Caenorhabditis elegans: one gene and its partners. The protein of the gene in region 2 purifies or fractionates together with the protein of the main gene of each other region. This does not show direct contact. Each region holds a gene or a part of one and is shown on either strand. Other genes may lie near its edges. The genes, in order: T03F7.7, fbxa-140 and Y52B11A.10.

The links.
Region 1: the proteins of fbxa-140 (region 2) and T03F7.7 fractionate together in Caenorhabditis elegans (co-fractionation; one large-scale study listed by BioGRID). This does not show direct contact.
Region 3: the proteins of fbxa-140 (region 2) and Y52B11A.10 fractionate together in Caenorhabditis elegans (co-fractionation; one large-scale study listed by BioGRID). This does not show direct contact.

The regions. Positions count from the first base shown.
Region 1 is NC_003283.11:11,307,293-11,314,926, reverse strand, and holds T03F7.7 (CRAL-TRIO domain-containing protein), read right to left. Parts: upstream 3,506-7,634; 5' UTR 3,406-3,505; coding exon 3,338-3,405; intron 3,069-3,337; coding exon 2,870-3,068; intron 2,821-2,869; coding exon 2,500-2,820; intron 2,445-2,499; coding exon 2,098-2,444; intron 1,868-2,097; coding exon 1,738-1,867; intron 1,689-1,737; coding exon 1,569-1,688; 3' UTR 1,482-1,568; downstream 1-1,481. Other genes in the region: cutl-18 (CUTiclin-Like), read left to right, coding at 1-292, 336-566, 889-1,042, 1,204-1,470; snf-11 (Transporter), read left to right, coding at 6,487-6,622, 7,033-7,164, 7,459-7,634.
Region 2 is NC_003279.8:12,957,993-12,964,469, forward strand, and holds fbxa-140 (F-box domain-containing protein), read right to left. Parts: upstream 3,628-6,477; 5' UTR 3,557-3,627; intron 3,501-3,556; 5' UTR 3,470-3,500; coding exon 3,417-3,469; intron 3,363-3,416; coding exon 2,690-3,362; intron 2,641-2,689; coding exon 2,380-2,640; 3' UTR 2,321-2,379; downstream 1-2,320. Other genes in the region: fbxa-101 (DUF38 domain-containing protein), read right to left, coding at 740-943, 991-1,672, 1,730-1,813, 1,869-1,927; C47B2.2 (Phosphoribosyltransferase domain-containing protein), read right to left, coding at 4,459-4,663, 4,975-5,056, 5,583-5,824, 6,412-6,477.
Region 3 is NC_003279.8:11,035,990-11,043,964, reverse strand, and holds the start of Y52B11A.10 (MI domain-containing protein), read right to left. Parts: upstream 4,910-7,975; 5' UTR 4,904-4,909; coding exon 4,796-4,903; intron 4,755-4,795; coding exon 4,572-4,754; intron 4,529-4,571; coding exon 4,403-4,528; intron 3,357-4,402; coding exon 3,200-3,356; intron 2,503-3,199; coding exon 2,321-2,502; intron 769-2,320; coding exon 432-768; intron 1-431. Other genes in the region: dxbp-1 (DNA/RNA-binding protein Kin17 WH-like domain-containing protein), read left to right, coding at 5,146-5,222, 5,367-5,595, 6,724-7,320.

The DNA of each region.
Region 1 (7,634 bases), on a different chromosome or scaffold from region 2:
ACCCGGATAATCACAATCTTGTTGGTGGAGAAATTTACGTTCGAAATGGTCACTCAAATTGTTCAAAAACAATTGGAACGGATGGAGAAGCGATTCTAAAGATCCGTCATAATGATACAACTTGTATCACTAAAAACGGAGATATTTACGAGACTGTAGTTGTTGTAACACAGAACGTGGAAAGTGTGGGAAATGCAACAGTGATAACGATCGATGATCAACTTTTCAAAGTGAGATGTGATTACTCGAATCAGAAAAATGCGGTGGCAGTGGCAAAAACAATGAATTTAAGGTAAACATTATATTGAAAACAGCGAAATAAATGTTTAATTCAGAACAACACAATTCAATAAACTCGATATCTATGGAAAAGTGAATGTGAAACCAATGAGTATGGAACTACGCGGAAAACGAGAAATTATTAAAGCTCGAACAGTGAAGCTCGGTCAAAGTCTTGATCTTGTTTTCACAGTCGATAATTCAACGTCAGCTCGTCACGTTTTTGTGAAGAAATGCACGGCTTACGATCAAAATGGCGATGAGAAAATAATTTTGATTAAAAATGGGTGAGTTATGTATAAAAACCGAAAAATAGCCTCAGTTAATACAACCTCAAGGGTGGTTCTAATCAGGGGATCTCAGCTGACACGCATGAAAAGCATCACAGGCGGGAATTGAACTCGGGTGTGTCGTGTCCCGAGGCAACACGATTGCCACTTGGCCACAAGTGAAACCACCGAAATTGCATAGAGGGTGGCAGACAAGAGTGCGGTGAATGTGAGAGAAGGAAAGAGATTGCACGGTAAAGGGAAAAAATGTGACAGATGGTTTTCTATCTTGGTTTTATGGGATTCTAACAAAATGCCTCGGATTAATCTTTATGGTCAGATGTGCTACCCAACATGCGAAGGAATACGTTTTACGAGATGAGATTAAGGAGACCGCTACAGGATTCGTATTACCGTTCCGAGCGTTTCGGTTTAAACAGGGAGAGGCTGTCAAGATTGAATGTGAGGTGAAGTACTGTGAAAAGTGTAAAAAGGTGAGATTTTTTGTTAATATTAAAAATTATTTTGGTAATATAATCTTCAACAATTTGTTGGACAACGCAACTATCAATATTGTTAGTTTTTTGTTCAAAAGTTCTAATCAACTCTCTACGGCATTGTTCCTAAAATCTGAGTTTATTCATACTATTTTCAGGCAAATTGTCCATCACGTAACCGCCGATTTACAACTTTTGATGAGAGTGAGGACACAACGTTAACTGGAAATGAAGATACTGAAAAAGTCCATGCCGAGCTTCTCGTTCAAACAATTGTAGACTCAACCCAATTAGATGGTTATTGCCTTCAATTGAACCGTTGGATTGCACTAATTTCCTTAACTGTAATTATAATTTCAATTCAATTCCTACTCGTGATCTATATTTGTCTCAGAAATCGTTTCCTCGATACAAAGAATATCTGATATGGGTGTTTGGTTTTTTGATTTTTTATTTGTTTAATGTCTTTATGTTCGGTAAGAACATTCTCATAATAAAGATAATAATACATGAATTGTCATATTTACACATTTAAAATTTCAGCAGCACAATTGACTTTCACTGGGAACCACGTACTTGATGGATTTTTGAACCTTAGAATATACTCTCCCGGTGCAACAAGTTTCTCGCCAAACTCTGGTAACTGAAAATACATTTTAGTGCAAATTCAACAAAACAGGGAAGAAACAAACCTTAAGACTTGTAACTGTGATCTTCGGCCAGATAGCCATCTCTTTACCAGCGTCTCGTTTAACAATCTCGAAGTCAACGTCTCCACTGGTTGTGTAATTCCAAACCAGTTTACCTTCCGTCGTAGTTTTTCTGTGAAAAAGGACATTATTTTCTCGGAATTGTTTCAGAAGGTGTGAATGGTTTTGTAGTTTTTGCACAAAATTTTCACGATTCTGTGCGAATCGGCAATTTTTGGAAATTTTCTCTCATGAAAATTATATGAAATGAAAACATTTTAATAAATAAATACTCTAACATAAAAAAATTTAATTGTAAGTAACATCAAATAAAATTCGATTTCCTCTAAATTTATAACTTACATGATATACTCTGATGTCTGGAATGCTTTTATCGAGTAACTCTTTCCTTTCGGTGCCTTGAGAATCCCGTTTTTAACCCAAATATACTCTTGTGGTTTATAATCTTCTTTGGTAATTCTCTTTGGTTGTTTACATGCTCCTTCTGGTGGATCTGCATATCCAGTATCATCACGATATGTTCCTCCATATTCGACTGGAATTGCCTCCGGCTCCAAATATTTTTTCAAATCTTCCACGTTGCTCAAGAAAGCTAACTTTTCTACTGTATTAGGGTCCACGAGTCGTTTAGTGACTTGCCACATGACGGATATAATTCCAGGTGGATTGATAAGAAGAAGCTTGCACAACTAAAATATTGAATTTCTCGTTTTGTTCAAGTAAAAACTGAAATTATACACTCACGTGTTCGCTGAAATATTCTGCCCAAACTTGCACCACGAGCCGTGCCAACTGTGCAGGTCCTGACAACGGATTCATGAAATCCATTAGATTTAATCCTTTCAAATCCAGAATACAGACGACTGAAGATGTTTTTCCTGTCTTTCTTTCAGTGTGTGCCATTGCTCTTGAAAAATTTTCTTGGAGCATAAAGTATGAGTGAAGAACATAGCTCAATGGCATCACTTTTAAAATTTCTTTGATATCAGTTCCTTCCATTTTTTGTACAAACACATGAAGATTTTTTGATGTGACTTCATAGTTAAGTTGAGAAATATGGAATCTCTGAAAAACAACAAAAGGTGTAATTCTATCCAGTGTTGGGAAGTCTCACCTCAAAACAATCCTTTCCAATATTTACGGTTGTAAAAATATCGAGATCGTTGATTTTTTCATATCCCATTAGTTTACGATGTTCGAATAACTGTATAATTTTCTGGCGTGTCTTTTCCACATCTCCATTATTTGCATTCAAAAATCTGGCAAAGAAGAATGGAGAATCGATTTTATCAGGTACGGATGGGATTGAAACTCTGCAAAAATTACTTTCTCAAAAATGGTTTTTCACAAAAATGTGCTGTAAAATGTTTTCAGGTTAAATGTTTTCAGGTGTTGTTGTTGGAAATTGGCGTCCAAAACCGAAATTTTTTTTTTGCTTTTTATTACTCTCAAATCCTCAATAGATTTATCGGAATGCAAGTCAACAATTTGAAAATGTCAAAAACTAGTAGCCGTTGCCCAAATTAAATGTCAAATTCACTGGAACGGAAAATTGTCAACTAAAAATTAAAAAAAAACTCACTTTAATTTTTCAGCCTTTTCCAAAATGTCTGCACTGAATTTCTTCGCTGTGATCATATCGTCAATCATTTTTGAATTTGTTGTTTCACGAGTGATTTCTTCGACAAAAAACGTGTATATAGCAAGGGACAGTCTAAAAAATAAATCTGGCTGTGGGAGGCGGTCTCCTAAAAAATGAAAAAAAGTGATTGATGGAGACAGGTTTTCAGATTAATATGCAGGAAAAGAAAGTCGTGCTGTTTTAACTGTTATCAGCAGTCATCACCAATTGATTATGTGATTATACATATAATAGTTATGTTATCATTTTATCACTAGAAGGGGCGAACACAATGGAAAAAAATGAGGACTTGATCAGTAGTGATATGACGTGTTAAATACAAGACATTCGGCGAAGGATGGTCGAGAGAAAATAATTTCGTGTTTTGTGATTTTAGAAAATTTTGGAAAAAAAGCGAAGATGCCAAACCTCAAGGTTGAATGGAACCTAGAGAGAAAGGTTGAAAAAAAGTGAGACCGAAAAAGGAACAATTTTAGATTATACTAGTAGTGCGCGGTCTCCTATAGTCGGTGGTTAGTAAGAGAGAAGTAAACAGGAATAGAGATGGCAGCAAGATGGTCAACAAAGGGAAATAGAGAGGTGTCGTTTAATACGGTAGTCACACATACACATAAAAGTTGAAGCCCCGGCTTGTAAAGAATGAATTGTTGTAAGAAATAGTTGAAGAGAATGAGCGTACAATTGTATTCAATGGGTGGAGACAATTTCAGATTGTTTTTCAGATTGTTGAATACCTTGTGATGAGGAAGGGATAGGTTTAATTGAAAAAAAGAATCAGGTGGAAAAAGGGTAAAGGAATAGAGAATGATGAACGTACAAAAATTTGGAAAATGAATTTGAAGTATTACACAAGTGGGGAATATTAAAAAATAGGAGGAAAATCATTTTTAAAACAATTATAAATTCGTATTTATGAATCGCGGGATTATTTAATCCACATAATATACATTTGAAGATAAGAGTGGATAAGATTGGATGAACCGTTCGGTATTTTCAGGTAGCTTATCAAAAAACATTTATTCAGTTATACGGCTGCTGGAAATTTTTAGTTGATGATTAAAGTAGACGTTTCATGCTTTGGTAATTTTTTTCTGCGTGATATTTTATTATCTCCATGTACTAGTTGTTACAATAATATCTCTACGTCTTTAACAACATCCCTGTCCAAATTATATCGTTTGTATCTGAAAAAATGTACCGGAAATTACCACACATCCATCTCATTTAAAGATATCCATTACTCAAGAGAATTTGTCCTTCTATAGCCCAATATTTTCTTCTTCATTGTGATGTCGTGTATGAACAAATCTGAAACCATTTCCAAACATCTCATTCAAAGCTCCACAGGGTATTCTCTTGTCCGCACCCTTGCTCAACCACAAAAATATAAGCATTTATGAAAAATTGGCGTATTTTCGTCTCCCTTTTCCATCTCTTCAAGGGGTTTTCACCACTTTCACCCAGTGCCACCACCAACAGAATTCGCCACTCACTTTTTTTCTTTTTTCTTTCTTCAATTGCCTCATTTATTCAAGGATGAGCACATACTTATGCTGGCGTTTTTGAATAAAAATTGAGCAAAAATGAAGAAGAATTCCGCATATTGGAAGAAGAGGAAGAAGAAGACTCCAAATGTTTAGTTTTGATGACTTGGAGTGAGAAATAAAAAAGAAAATTTTTAATTGTTTTGTTACTAAGTGTTAAGTCTCAGGATCTGTAATTTTTGTTGGAATCCATTACAATTTAAAATAGATTTAATATATTTTTCAGTTCTATTTCAATTTATTACTGATTTAGGACAAATTCGCTCACTAGGATAGTATTTCAGCTCATAATTAATGCTCCGAATGAAATCTATGGCAAGCTACAAAATTTTTTCTTAATCTAGTTGTTCCAGATTTGCAAATTTCTCTAAATGGCCTAGTAATTATCTGTCTTTCACAATCAGTCACTTTTCATCTTTTTGGTTTTATCTTCAAACGTTTTCATCTAGGACATTCTTTGAGTTCGACTCGTCTCCAAATAATTCTACAAAAGAAGTCCCATTGAGATACTTCAAAATAGTCCACTTTAAGTCTTTTATGTCTCTTTTTCTCTACATTTATGCTTTTCCCGAATAAGTATGCAGCGTGCATCATAACCCATTAAGTATCCGGAATTTGGCAAAATTTAGGATTTTCAGGAATGTTTCTTCCATGACTCAGTATTTTTATCAGAACAACCCACATAAAAGCTGGGTCACGACCCACGTGATAGGGAACCGGGTTCTAAACAAACTCTTGCTATTTCACTCTTAATCTCTTTTTTGTATCCAGAAATCTCCTGCAGGGGAAAATAGCAGCTGTGTGCTCCCGCGCCGCCCTCTGCTCCCCCTCTTGTCACTTTCTCTTCCTATCTTGAGGGTTCTATCTTCCTCATCATCATCATCATCATCTACATCAGTCGTGGCGAAGCCCAAAGCACTTTCATGTGCCACTACAACCTCATCCACCCCGCCCATTGGTTCTTCTTTCTTCAATTTTTCCGAGTGTGTGATTCTTGTCTTTGTTTATGTCAACGAAGCCGCAAACTACTCTTCTTCTCACCACCCCTGCCTGTCAAAAAGCCTATTGGTCCTCTCGTTTTTTTTCTAGTGAGCTGATTCTGTAAATGAATAAGGGACACTGTGCTAGTGGTAGTTTCTGGTTAAGATTTCTGCAGGACATTCGTCTGCATGCTCTTGCAATTAAAATGCACTTTCTATCATTGAAATGTATAACAGAGGGATACCTAATCTCATTTGAAATTCATTTTATTGATTAGAATTTGGTTTTCTCGAAGTATTAGGGAATCTCCAGGGTTTGAAAATTTCGTACTTTGATGCATGCAGACTAATTTTTTTAAATTCTTTATTTCTCAGTGGTTTTATGATAGTTTTGCTATAAATAAATATAATTCAACAAGTACATGTCTGTGTTATTTTTTCTCAATATCGATTTTTCAATTTTTAATTTCGCATGTTTTTTTTTCAATTTCGCATCGTTATATGCAGATATCTCCGATATTAAAATTATTTATATATTTTTAATTGAAAATAATTGCAGGTAATTATGGTAGAAGCCACATCAGTGGCTGAAAGAGAACAATGGTCCTCGTGGGCCGACTTTATTATGAGTTGCATCGGTTACGCAATCGGTCTTGGTAACGTCTGGCGTTTTCCATATCTTTGTTACCAGAACGGAGGAGGTGGGTTGCCGTGTGTCAGTTTGTCAAAATATCAATAATAACTGGGGTACCAGAGAGAAATTCCCCCGAAACTTGATCCGCAGGCTGCTCAAAGATTAGTTCTTTCTTTCTTTTCGTTTTCCTATACCCTCGTCAATCATCTTTTCAATACTCATTTTGTGTGTTGTCTATAAGATTAATAGGAAGGTCGAAACAGCTTGTGCGGGGAGGGTGTGAAAATTTGGGGAGACAATCTTTTGGAAGAAGAGAAACGATCGGATGGGAAGCAATCGGACAAATTGTCAGTCATTGGATGGGCTTTCCGCCACGCAATTTGTCACTCGGGAAATGCTGCCCTTCCCGTGTCATGTCCCGTCTGATGCTCATAGATACCCTGTGCTCTTTTCTCAATCATAAATCACAATTTGCAGGCGCGTTTCTCATTCCATATTGCATCTCATTGGTCTTCTGCGGAGCACCTCTATTCATTCTGGAAACATCATGGGGACAACTCATGTCTGTCGGAGGACTTGGAATGTTCAAAATTTGCCCTATTTTCAAAGGTACGAGACAAAAAAAAACAAGAAATGAACAGTTGTTAGATAGCAAGAAAACATTGAACTGATAGAATGTTTCGACATCTTGGAATTTATAGCCAATCTATCGACCAAGTTGGTCCAATAGATGTAAACTTGATCCCCAAGATTTGCCTACCTTTTCTCCATTGTGTGCCTTTTGAACCAAGCTTATGTTTTTAGCCCAATTTGGCAAAGACGTTGTCACTAAATGCCTATACAATTATTTTCAAAATTATTCTGAAAATTTGAAGAAACTGTGACATAGTTATATAATTATAGGCGTTGGTATCGCTGCAGCTGTGATGGCTTTTTGGCTCAACATCTACTACATTGTCGTTCTTTCCTGGGCTGCGACCTATCTTTATAACTCATTTACAATGTCTGATGTTCCTTGGAAGAACTGTGATCATGCATGGAATACACCGAACTGCCGATCGGAATATGTCAAGATTCCA
Region 2 (6,477 bases):
ATATAGTAGCGGGAATCAATAATTTACAGCGAAAAACATGTATTTGTATTATTATTAATAGTATCCAAATAGCCAATGACTGGAGCAATGAGCCCCCATGGTGCATCGAAGGGATGTGTAAATAGCTGCAAAAATGACATATTTTGCGGTCCAGATCATTGTTATAGAACTCGTTACACGTTTTGGGCTTGTAATAAAATTAAAATTTGAATTTTGAAAAAACACTTTGGGAAATTTTTTTTTTGTGAAAAAATTTAAAATTTCTAAAAACGTTTTTAAAAAATTAATTTACAATTTTTGCTAGTATATTCTTCACTTTCAGCTAAAATTTCTAGAAGAAAGGTTCAAAATATGACAAATTTGTAGCTTAGAGCAGGAATAAATTCATTTTTCTTTTCAAAAATATATAATTTATTTAAGCACTTGATTTTTTTTTTTTTTTTAATTTTTTTTTTTAAATTTTTTCACTAAAACGACTAAAAACATGAACTTTCCATAAATAATTTTCAAAAAAAAGTCAAGTTTCGCTTTCGGTTGATTTATTTTCTTTACCGGAAGCGACGTTTTTTCAATGTACTTTCTTGGCTTAGGCTTATAAAATGTCTAGTTTGTAGTCTATTAGCCTTCCAGTGTTGATCAAAGAAAAATGACAAAAGCAAATTCATGAGAACGAGATGAACAACAATAAATTAAACAACAATTTTTGAAAAACCAAAAAACAAAAATTAAAATTAAATAATCAGCCGAGTTTCTTCTCAATTTTCACTCGCTCTTCAGTGACTTCAATGACATATTCAAATCCATTTGCCTTGTAATTGATGGTTCCGGTTTTGCCAGCGAAGGTAGGATCAAACTCTTGGAGCATTTCTTCTGCAATTGATTCACTATCATCTAATTGCTTGCTGACGACACAAGTTTCCAGCTTTGTAGACGAATTTACCAACTGAAAGAATTTTAATTAAATCAACTAAAAATTGATTATTGCTATACCTCTTTCAGATCATTTGGCGATACCTCTGGACTGGTGAATTCAATACTTGAAAATCCAAGAAGATCCGACACAGTAAATCCAAAGACGGAGCAAATGTTAAGATCAGTTCGCAATTGTTTTGCATTTTTAAACTGTTCCAAGCAAGTTAGTGGACGAATATCGTTGAAGATGCAACGCATAATCTCAAATTTCACAAGTGTTCCAGCATCGAAAGAACTGAGAATTAGCGCAGCTCGTGGTTTCTTGAATCCACTCAGAGAAACTGATTTCGCTCGGAAACAGTGAGCATCTCCAAACTCCATATCGATTGTTCTCAGGCTTGACCTCAACCGTTCATTGTGGACATAGTCTTCATATCCTCCAATTGAGTCGAAATCTAGACTGAACTTCTCAATCTGAGCTTTTGGAAGCTTCATGACATTGAACAATTTTCTGAGAGCAAACTGTAGTCCTTTATTGTAGATGGTTCTTCTTTCATCATCAGCCACGACCGGATGGAAAGGTTCATTGCGAGCGTTGCTTATTTCATCATAAGGCACAAATCTATACCGATAACGAAATGATTTTCCATTGAGAACAATGGTGTACCTATGGCCCTCAATAAAAATATCAATGTCCAAATCCAGTTTCAAGGTGTCGATGAAGCTTCGAAGATTTCCATTGGAATTGCGAACGGAAATCCTGAAAATATTTTTATTATACTTTCTAAAAATATAATTTTTATTTATTTGATCTTACCAATCGTATGGATGCAGTTTCTTCACAATTTTCTTCATAATATTCAGAGGCAAGTCAAAAAGCGTCGGCGAGCTTGTCTTCGATCTGAAAATGTGTTTTAAAAAAGTTATTTGAAATTATTGTAGCCTAAATAACTAACAATTTCATGGAATTCTGCTTGTCCGTCGTTTCACCAATTTCTGCTCTTTGGCTAGTCATGTCGACGAATTACCTGAAAAAAATTAATTTGAGTAAATATAGAAAATCACGTTCAATGTGTAAAAACGAAATTAATTTTTACAAAAACAGGTTATTTTACTTATTTTAAATCATTTTCAGGGGAAAAATCACAAAAAATTGGTTAGAAAAACGCATAAACCACATTTGAAAATTCAAAAAAAAATTTAGAATTTTTGTGCGTCAAATGAGATGCCCGGTACGCATACTGCGTACTCTGAGAGTTACCGTAGTTTGGAAAAGGATCTTTGTTAACTATTCGAGAATTCCTTTTAAAATATAGAAAAACTGGGAAGATTACAAAATATTAAACGGAAGGTAACATTCAGCCGTAACCCAAATTATTGGTTTAATCAGTTTCAAAACAAAAAAAGTAACAAAATAAGAATTCATGTGACTAGTAAAACAAAAGCAAATTTTGAAAAATGAGAAGATTATTCGATTTTCTTCACAATTTTAGTTTCGAATTCAGTGACTTCAATGAGATATTCGAATCCATTTGCTTTGTAATTGATTGTTCCGTTATAGCCAACAAAGTTCGGATCGAACACTTTGAGCACTTCTTTTGACACCGTTAACACTCCACTATTGTCCTCATCATCGCTGTCTTCATCACTATCTTCATCGCTGTCATCCTCGCTGTCATACGTGTTCCTGCTGAGACAAGTTTCCAGCTTTGCAGACGAATCAACCAACTGAAAAAAAATCTAAAATTAATTAATCAATAATTAAGAATTTCTATACCACTTTCAAATCAGATGACAATACTACAGTTGTGAATTCGATATTTGAAAATGCGAACAGTTCAGCAACTCGAATTCCGGTGTAGCGATCAGTGGAAAGTCCAGTTTTCAGTTTTTTCGCATTCTTCCACTGCTCCGAAAGCGTCAGCTGCCAACTGAAGTAGAACTTGTAGGAATTAATGATTTCAATGTTCTCGAGAGTTCCAGACTTGAAAGATTTGAGAATGAGCACAGTTCGAGGTTCCTTTAGTCCACTCAGAGAAACTGATTTCGCTTGGAAACAGTGAAACTCTCCAAACTCCTTATCGATTGTTCTCAGGCTTGCACTCAACAGTTTATTTTTAAAACTAACTCTTCTGGAACCAATATCGTAGATATCTTCAAATTCGTCACTTCCTCTTCCCATAAAGTCAAAATCCAGTTTGAACTCTTCAATTTGGGCACTTGGAAGCTTCATAACCACGAACAATTTTCTGAGAGCAAACTGTAGTCTTTTATTGTAGATGGTTCTTCTTTCATCATCAGCCACGACCGGATGGAAAGGTCCGAAGGATTGATTTCCATTGATATCAATGGTGTGAAAAGTGCCCTCAATAGAAACATCAATGTCCAATTTGAGGTGCTGGCTGTCGACGAAATCTCGAAGATTTCGATTGGAATTGCGGACGGAAATCCTGAAACTCATTTGGTTTTTTTTTAACATTTGCCTAACATTCAAAATTTGATACCAATCGTATGGATCCACTTTCTTCATAACTTTCTCCATAACATCAACTGGCATGCTTAAAAGCGTAAGTGGTCTTTTCTTCGATCTGAAAATAAGCAAATTTTAAACTGAATCCGATGCAAATTTCATTTTAACACTAACAATTTAATCGATCCAGTTTCTTTGTCATTTCGACAATTCCACGAGATGAGCCAGTCATTTTGACAAATTACCTGAAAAATAGGAAATTTATTTGATTGATTCAGTTTTCAATCGTTTGAAGTGAAGAAAACAATAAGAAAATACGGATAAAGTGAAATATCTTTGTAAAATACGTTACCTAACGGTAAAATAACAAATTTTCCAGTAAATTTCGTGAAAACTGAAAATTTCTTTTCTGTCTAATAAATTTTCACAAATAAAAATCACAAAAACGACAGGAAAAATGCAAAAACTATGTTTGAAATTTTGAAAATCCAAAAACAATAAACTAGGAATTCTGTGCGTCAAATGAGATGCCCGGTACGCAAGTTGCGTACTCCGAGAACTACCGTAGTTTCGGAAACTTTTTTTGAAACGGCTAATTTTAACTTATTTTATTTTCAGAATATAATGAAAAAAAAACAATTTGCATGCAAAGTAGCAAATAGAATTTGAAATAAAACGTTTATTTTCGTAAAATTTCTTAAATTTGCAGTGAAAATCCAAAAAATGAGGAAAAATCTCACTCTCAACTTTGCGCGTAAAATATAGCGCCCTGTACGCACACCATGTACTCAGAAAATGACTACCGTAGTCATTGCATCTTAAAATAATGTTTAATGAACCGAAAACAACACAAAAGAATTTAGTTATGCGGAAATTCAATGAACATTTTGTCAAAAAAAAATAGGGGAAATCAACAGTGAAAAAGTAAAAAAGAAGACTACAATAACTACAAACTACAAACCAATAACGAGAAATGAAGAGATGATCAAGTGAGAAAAGTGAATAAAAATACTGCATTTGAAACGGAAACGATGTAGTTTGTAGTGTCAAAAGGCTACAAACTACACAAAACTAGTCTAGACAGCACCAAAATAGCTGGTTGAGAAATGATTTGGATAGAGAGATGTGATATCGGAGGCGACGACAGTGATATACGGGTACTTTCTGGTTATATTCTTGAGTCCAGTCGGTGAGATGAATAGGGAAACCAAGTAGATATTCTCATCTGGGACACGTGCCTCTTTTAGGACTTCAATTGCCTTGCAAACTGTCGTCCCAGATCTGAAAAATTGGAAATTTTGATAAAAATGTGATTTTTTAAATTTAAATGTTTCTTCAGTTAAAAAAATTTCAAAAAAAGATTTTTTTTGCACAAAAAAAAACTCAATTTTTTAGACAATTTTTCGCCTTCTGGGGAAGTTTTAGTGATCGACATTTTTAAAGTTTCTACGTCAAACAAATTATTGAATTTTACGATTTTTCGCCGGGAAAATCGATTTTTTGACATTAAATTTTGTGTTTTTTTTCTCAGATTTTTCAATCAAATTTATTTCGGCCAGATATTTTTTGTAGTTTGTAGTCTCTGAGCGTACCCTATCGTTGGGTAGAGCAGTAGAACTCGACGCGACGTGATATCCGGAAGAAGCCTGGCGTAGAGCACTTTTTGTTCGTCGCCTGTAACAAAAAGTGGATGAAAATTGGAAATTTTGCGAGTTTTGAGGTTTTTCTTTTAAAAAAGTATCGCCAGTTTTCGACAAACTCAGTAAAACTCACGATTTCTACCACTTTTCTGGGTAAAAACGCAAATTTTACTATTATATATATTTTTAATATATTTTTCAGGAATTTTACCATAAGAACAGTACATATTTATTACAGATTTAAAAAAAAAAACATTTTTCGGCTGAAAAAACGAGTTTCTCTACGAATTAGAGGTATTTTTGAAGGAAAAGTCAGACTTTTCACAGATTTTGAGGGGTATTCAGGAGAAAATCTATAAAAACTGGATATTCACCAGATTTTTCCATTTTTCAAGCAGAAATCTGCATTTATAAGAGATTCCAGGTAATTTCAGGGAGAAATTGATGAAAATCGCAATGATTTTGGTGATTTTTCGCCATTTTCTTCTATATTTCTCAATTTTCTTCGCCTTTTCTAGGAAATTTCCCAAATTCCTCTCGATATCCTCAATTTCCCGTACCAATCAGAATTTTTCCAATTCGAATACACCGACAACACTGTCTCAATGAAACTTCCATCGCCTCTCCACTTCTACACAACGATACTCCACAATTTCCACGATTAAATTGAATTCCTTCATATTTGAAGCCTGTTGGTGTGGTAACTGTGTGCTCAGTGAATGGAAGATGATTGAGACATTCTTCAATTACAAGCCGCATCAGACGATCCGCGTTGAATACGAAATCCGAGTGATTTGTTGATCTGGAAATTGGAAGATGGTTGAGGCTATGGGGCTACAAACTACAAACTACAAGATTCTCTGAGCCTCAACCAATTTTTACAAGGAAAACTTCTAAAATTGCGAGGAAATCACGAAAAATACCGTTTCGGACCCGGAAATTTATGAAAATATCGGAATTTTGACTCAAAATCCGAGAAAATCCTTGAAAAATTCATTTATATAAATAAATATATTCATGTTTTCTAACAAAAAAAAACGTTTTTTAATCAAAATTTCAGTTAATTTCACGGCAAAAAGGCCAAAAAATGAAAACGTTTTCTATTTTTCTCCTAATTTACTGGCAAAATCGCTTAAAATGCCGTTTCTGACCCGAAAATTTGTGAATTAACGGATTTTTAAAATCTAAATTCCAAGAAAATCGCTTTTTAAGGCAAAAAAGGAGTTTATTTAAAATCAACAAGTTTTTCCGGCAAAAATACCGAAAATCGTTAATTTTTCCGCAAAATCTGGAAAAAGAGCTTGGAAATATGAGTTTTCAGCCCCTTTCTTTAAATTTTCACCCATAAAATGTTTGAGGCTTCAGTCTATTCCCAGTCAAACTTCATACCTATCTTTCAAAATTGTCTGCAATTCAAGTATCTGTGGAGTCTTCTTCAAAAGAACAAAATTTGTT
Region 3 (7,975 bases), 1.9 Mb from region 2:
TGCAACAAAAAAAAAAATCATATTTTTAGCTGAAAATATCATTTTAGACTACAAACTACATGTTTTTCTGACCCTTAACCTACAAAAAATCGATTATTTGGTTGTTTTTAACGTTAAAAAAAATGTTTTTTTTTTGAATTTTCTAAAACTATATTTTAGACATGAAAATTTGGGAAAAATGGATTAAAAAACAAATTTTCAATGAAAAAAATTACATTTTTATCACCAAAAAATATGGTTAAGGCTAGAAATTTTGTAGTTTGTAGTCGTGGGCCTCAACCAATTTCTTGTGGTTTTTCTCGCATTTTTTTTTAAGGAAAATTAGCCAGAAAATACGGTTTTTCTTCAATTTTTGCGGCATTTTTCAGGAAATTTTATTGATTTTCCCTACTTTTTCTGCAATTTTTCAACATTTTCAGCCTAAAAATTACCATTTTTCGAGCTATTCGCCCATAATTCAGCGATTCCCTGCTGAGATTTGATGAGCATTGCGTCGGAAAGCTTATTAATAATACTATTAACCGCCCGTTCAACTCGTTGCTTCTGCTCTCCGGTTGATGACGTGGCATCGAGCTCCTCGAGCTTTTTCCGCGCCGCCGCCGGATCGAATTTGATGAGTTCTCCGGTGGACTTATTGATTTTTCGACCATAAATATCTTCAGTTTCTTCGGATTTTTTAGGTGCGGAGGTTTCAATTTCCGAATCCGAAATTTCCACGATTTTCTCATCATCCACGTTATCTTCCTCGTCTGACATCATTTCGTCCACCTGAAAAATTGAAATTTTTGACAAATTTTTATCGTTTTTTAATGAAATTTTAAGCGAAAAACTGCAATTTTCAATGGAAAAATCAAAGAATAACAACTTTTTGTTTGCCAATTTTGAGCATTTCTGAAAAAAAAATTAACAGAAAATATTTTTATTTTCCATTGGTTGAGGCTAGAAATTTTGTAGTTTGCAGTCTGTGAGCCTCAACCAATTTTTAAAGAATTTTTGAGGCAGAAGTCAGCTTTTTTTGCAGTTCTTGACCAAATTTTCTGTTTGTAATGAAATTTTCAGCGAAAAACTGCATTTTCGAGTTGAAAATTCAAAAAAATCGAACATAAAACTCAATTTTTAAGTGAAAAAAGTTTTTTTTATCACAAAAAATATGGTTGAGACTAAACATTTTGTAGTTTGTAGTCTGTGAGCCTCTATCATTTTTTGGAGGACTTTTGAGCCAATTTCGAGCATTTTTTTGCGAAAAAAAAGGCAGAACGTTTGAGTTTTTAATTAAAATTTTTAAACTTTTTGGGAAAAACTGAATTTTTATACTTAAAAATTTTGAAAATTGAAGAAAAATACGATTTTTTAACTGAAAAATACCTTTTTTCATTTGGTTGAGGCTAGAAATTTTGTAGTTTGCAGTCTGTGAGCCTCAACCAATTTTTAAAGAATTTTTGAGGCAGAAGTCAGCTTTTTTTGCAGTTCTTGACCAAATTTTCTGTTTGTAATGAAATTTTCAGCGAAAAACTGCATTTTCGAGTTGAAAATTCAAAAAAATCGAACATAAAACTCAATTTTTAAGTGAAAAAAGTTTTTTTTATCACAAAAAATATGGTTGAGACTAAACATTTTGTAGTTTGTAGTCTGTGAGCCTCTATCATTTTTTGGAGGACTTTTGAGCCAATTTCGAGCATTTTTTTGCGAAAAAAAAGGCAGAACGTTTGAGTTTTTAATTAAAATTTTGGAAAAACGGGCAAAAATGCATTTTTTCTTTGAAAATTCAGAAAAATTGAACAAAAACCGCATTTTTTAACTGAAAAATATCTTTTTTCATTTGGTTGAGGCTAAACTTTTTGTAGTTTGTAGTCTGTTAGCCTCAACCAATTTTCAAAGAATTTTTGCGGCAGATTTCAGCTTTTTTTTTGCAATTTTTGAATAAATTTTGTATTTTTAATGGATTTTTCAGCGAAAAACTGCAATTTCGATTTGAAAATTCAATAAAAAATCGAACATAAAACCCAATTTTTCACTGAAAAAAGTCATTTTTTATCACAAAAAATATGGTTGAGGCTAGGAATTTTGTAGTTTGTAGTCTGTGAGCCTCAACCAAATTTTGAAATGATTTTTTAATGGTTTTTCGCGGTTTTTGTGCAATTTTGGAGTATTTTTTGAGTAAAAACTGGAAAATTGGTCAAAATTTTCGAAAATGTTTTTTTTCAAAACAAAGTTCCGATTTTTTACGTTAAAAATGTCGAATTTCAGCCTAGAATCGTGTATTTTAATCATTTTTTTTTCAGTTTTTTCAGTATTTCAAGATATTTCCAGTAATATTTACCATATCCTCATCATCCTCCGATTCCACAGGCTCTTCTCCTTCAGAAAGATCTAGCTCATTTCCAGATTCATCAGCTTCATCCTCTTCATCTTCAAATTCTTCTTCATCTTCCATATTATCATCGTCAAGTTCATCTTCCATTAGCTCCTTACGCCGTTCCGAATCGCAAAAGTCGAGAAGTACTGAAAATTTTGAATTTTAGAGTGAAAATTCAAGTTTTTATTAAAATTTTATATAAAAATGAAGATTTTGGCCAACTTTCTTGTATTTTTTTTTTATAAAAAAAAAAAAAAATTAAAATTAAAAATAAAAATAATAAATATTTAGCCTCACTTAAATTTTTTTTGACATTTTTCTGTCTAATTTTTGAATGAAAATTGAGGTTTTTTTTTGTTAATTTTAGATAAAAATGAAGATTTTGGCCAACTTTCTTGTATTTTTAATTGAAAAATTATCGAAAATGACCCAAAAACGGCGAAAAAACATCAAAAAATAATTTCAAAAACTGGTTGAGGCTCACAGACTACAAACTACACATTTTTCAGCCTCAACCACATTTTCTCAGTTAAAAATTAGGTTTTTAACCATTTTTCCAAACTTTTGAAGTCGAAACTGCAGTTTTTCGCTGAAAATTTCATTAAAATACGAAACTTGTTTAAAAATTGCAAAAAAAAGCAGACTTCAGCCTTCAAAATCCTTTTTAAATCTTGATTGAGGCTCACAGACTACAAACTACAAACTGTTTAGCATCAACCATTTTTTTTGTTGGAATTTTTCAGTAAAAATTCAAATTTCTGAGTGAAAATTCGAAATTTTTATGTAAATTCCAGGTTTTCAGGTAAATTCCTAGCTTTTAAAGACTACAAACTACAAACTCACAATCCAATCCATCACTTTTCATGGATTTCGGTACTTTTAGCTTGCCATCTCGCTCCTTTTTCTGCTCATTTACACCTAAAAGTACTCCATATTTACGAATTGCGGCGTCATCTTCCTCAGTTCCGTCGGCTTCTTGTCGCCGCTTTTTTGTCGCTGTCTGGAAGTGAAAATAGATGAAAATCGACAATTTTTGCATTAAAAATTGGATTTTTAGTGGGAATTTGTAAAAAATCTGTGGAAAAATTGAATTTTTCACATTTTAAATGTTTATATTTTAGCAAAAAAAGTCTAAAAAATTGGAGGAAAAAACCAAAAAATCAGTTTTTTTTCGGTTGGTTGAGGCCCAAACGATATTGTAGTTTGTAGTCTGAGCCTTAAATCTGAATTTCGTCGGTTTTTAGTGTTATTTCTCGATTTTTTGCAATTTTATTCGAAATTTCTGTCATTTTAACGTGCATAAACTACTTCTCCACCGATTTTAACCCAAAAAACTTTAAAAATTAGAGACAATTCAGAAAAAAAAAACTGTTAAAAAATAAATTTTCTCGTTGGTTGAGGCTCAGGAGTTATTGTAGTTTGTAGTCTGAGCCTCAACCAGAATTTCATCTGTTTTTAGTGTTTTTCAGGAATTTTTGCTATTTTTTCGCAACTTTTATCATTTTAACAAGCCTAAACGGCATTTACTTTGCTTTTGAGTTAAAAAAAAAACTTTCAAAATTCGAGTAAATTCGAGAAAAAACTATTAAAAATTAACTTTTCCCGTTGGTTGAGGCTCAGACGATATTGTAGTTTGTAGTCTCTGCGCCTCAACTAGAATTTCATCAGCTTTTTTGTGTTTTTTCTTGAATTTTTGCAATTTTTCGCATTTTTTTTGTCATTTCAACATTCCTAAACGACATTTACTTTGATTTTAAGTCTAAAAACCTTAAAAAATTAGAGAAAATTCGGGTAAAAAATATTAAAAATTAAATTTTCTCGTTGGTTGAGGCTCAGGAATTGTTGTAGTTTGTAGTCTGAGCCTCAACCAATATTTAGTCGATTTTTATAGGATTTCTTTGATTTCTCGTCATTTTTTCGTATTTTTTGGCAATTTTAAATGTTTTAAGCTACATTTTCCACGATTTTCAGACGAAAAATCGATAAAATCTGCCAAAAATAGCCGTTTTTTCAGTTTTTCTCCGTTTTTTTCGCATTTTCTCCTACCTGAACCTCTTCCATATACTGTTCATAGGTCAAATCCTCATCACTATCCTCAGAATCATCACCATACTTCCGTTTTCCCTTATTCACGCTCACTTCGACGATTCCCTTGCGATTTGTGGGCTTTTTCTGGAATTTTCGAGTTATTTCTATACAAAAATCATGCTAAAACCTCTTCTTCGTCTTCAGAATCTTCCATATCCTCCTCGTCATCGGAATCCCCGTCATTTCGATTTTTATTCTGCAGATATTCCAATTTTCTCTGCTCTTTCTTCGCTTCCAGCTGTCTTTTCCGTTTTCTCTTCTTTTTATCCTCTTTCGTCATTCCCATCGTCTCTCTCATCACTTGTTCTATCTGAAAATTGAATTTTTGAAGCAAAAAATCGCAAAATATACCGGAGTTCTCTGGGAAAATGCCTTTGCCTGCATTTTCTTGAGCTGTTTCGCGGATTTTCGTTGTTCCTTCCGCGACATTCCATCTTTTTTGAATAGTGGAAGCTTCATTTTACCCTGAAATAGTAAAAAATTAAAGTTTTTCGTTAAAAATTCATCGAAATTCGCTGAAAAAGATTAATCGAAAAAAAAAAAAAATAAATATTTGCAACGACACTCCGAAATCCCGCTAGTGCGCGTTGTTTACCGTAAATCCACAGCGCGTGTTTTTCGAATTTATTTCTTTAGTTTTTTGGTTTGCAAGCTTTTTCAAGCTTTTTCACCTAAAATTCCTAATTTTTTCAGATTTAAAAATGGGAAAACACGAAAAAGGAAGTTCAAAAGACTTGGCAAATCGAACAAAATCGAAAGGATTACAAAAATTGAAATTGTATGGCACTTTTTAAGTAAAAATTTAAAAATAATTAATTTTAAGCGATTTTTGTCGGTTTTTGCTGGTTAAATTGAGTTAAAATTAACGAAATATTCAATTAAACAGTTAAAAATTAATAAAAATGATTATTATTATTTCCAGCTTCTGCCAAATGTGCCAAAAGCAGTGTCGAGACGCGAACGGCTTCAAATGCCACTTAACTTCCGAAGCACATCAACGGCAACTTTTGCTCTTTGCCGAGAACTCGAATTCCTATCTCCGACAGTTTTCCAATGATTTTGAGAAGAATTTCATGCAGTTGCTGCGAACTTCGTACGGAACGAAGCGAGTTCGTGCCAATGAGGTGTATAATGCGTTTATTAAAGATAAGGTAAGAGAAATTTCAAGAAAACTTGAAGAAATTGCCGGAAAAACGCCGAAAAATGCATTAAAATCGGCAAAAAACCATTAAAAACAAGTTTTTGAATTTGGTTGAGGCTGAAAAATGTTGTAGTTTGTAGTTTGCCCATTTTTAAAAGGATTTTCACGATTTTTGGCCAAATTTCGTATTTTTTGCTCAACTTTTAGTGTAAAACTGCATTTTCGAATTGAAAATTCAGTTAAATTGGACAAAAAAATCCAGTTTTCAAGTGAGAAATGTTTGGTGAGGCTGAAAATGTTGTAGTTTGTAGTCTGTGAGCCTCAATCAAGATTTAAAAAGGATTTTTGCCATTTTTTCGAAACTTTCAGTGTAAAACTGCATTTTTGAATTCAAAATTCAGAACAATTGAACAAAAAAATCCAGTTTTAAACTGAAAAATGTAAAATTTATCTCAAAAAACTTTGGTAGAGGCTAGAAATTTTGTAGTTTGTAATGGAGCTCATAGGGGTCTCTGACCCTCACCCAAAATGAAAATTTATTTTTTTCGCTAAAAATTGGAACAATTTTGATTTTAAGGTTCAGAATTGAATTTTTAACGTAAAATATTTGAAAAAATTCAGTTTCCCGCAAAATTTTGTAGTTTGTAGTCTGTGAGCCTCAACCAAATTGGGAACATTTGGAAAGGTTTTTCCGAAAAAAAACCTTTAAAAAATTTAATTTTTGTTAAAATTTTCATAAATCCATGAAATTTTTATTTTTAAATAATTTGCGGTCAATTTCGTAGTTTTTGAAAATTGAAATTAGCCTAAAATTTTGAAATTTGTTAAATTTTTGTCTGAAAAACGGAAAAATTCAACCCAATCTGCAGTTTATAGCCTTCTAAGGACTACAACAACATATTCCAATAATTTGAGCCGAAAAGCTCCAAATTCTCTAAATTTTCCCTCAAAATTGCACCTCGCCCTAGCAGCACCATGAAGCTTGTTCCATAAGTTCAAAATCCCGAGTTCAACTTGATTTTCAAGGTTTTAAACCTTTAAAATCAAGCTGAACCCGCATTTTTGAGCTTATAGGACTGCTGATCGGTTCTGCTAGGGCGCTGACTTACGTTCGGAGCCACCAATCACCAAATTTCAGGGTCACGTGCACATGAACTCTACAGTATGGCACTCGTTGACAGGCTTCGTCCAGTATCTCGGATCATCTGGAAAATGTAAAATCGACGAAGGTGATAAAGGATGGTATATTGCATATATCGATCAAGAAGCCTTAATCCGAAAAGAAGAAGATCAACGAAAACAGCAACAGGAGAAGGATGACGAAGAGCGTCATATGCAGATTATGGACGGGATGGTCCAACGAGGAAAAGAGCTCGCCGGGGATGATGAGCACGAATATGAAGCCACAGAGCTCATCAGGGATACTCCGGATCAGAAAATTCAGCTGGATTTAAATTTGGGGATTCTAGATCGGAAATTGGACGTTAAAAGTGGTGTGGCGTCGGCGAAAATCTCGATTTTCGATATGCCAAAAGTCAAAAAAGAGGATCCGGATGAGCCGGGACCATCACAACCATCACGCAAAAGTGGTAAAAAGAGATCCCGGAGCCGGAGCCCGGCCGCCAAAAAATTCTCGAAAAAGTCAGCGCTAGATGAGATTAAGGAGATGGAGGAGAGGAAAAAGGAGCGGAAGAATCGGAAGGATTATTGGATGAGAGAGGGGATTGTTGTTAAGGTGATTAGCACAGAAATTAATTAAATTAGAATGAAAACCCCAAAAAAATTGAATTTAAAGCAGGGGTGGGCGGCAATTGCCGTTCGGCAAATTGATTTGTCGACAAATTGCCGATTTGCCGGTTATCAGGTTTGCCGGAAATGCCTTGAGGGATTTTTGACAAGACGGAAACACTTAAAATTGTGTCATTTTAAAGTTTTTCCCGTTTTTTCTAGTTATTTTCACAGAATTCGCTTACTTATCGAAATAAATGTAGGAATTGTATTCATAGGATGTGTTTCATTTGGCCATTTGAAATTGAAATTCTGACATTTCCAAAAAAAAAAAAGGGCAAAACCACATCTTGTCGGAAATTTTCAATTCCGGCAATTTGCCGGTTTGGCGGAAAAAATATTTTGCCGCCCACCTTTTGTACCCTAAATAGAATGAAAAAACGAAACAATCGAATTTTTAGTGAAAATTAACTTTTGAAGACGATCTTTCTTGTTCAAAATATATCCTAGATTGCTAGAAAAGTTCCAAAATATGAGAAAAAGTAGTTTTGTACGACAATTTGCATAGTTTACGCCTAAACACTATAAAGTTTTCAAAACATTCCTCATAAAATTGCACCTCGCCCTAGCAGCACCGTGAAGCTTGTCCCATAAGTTCCAAA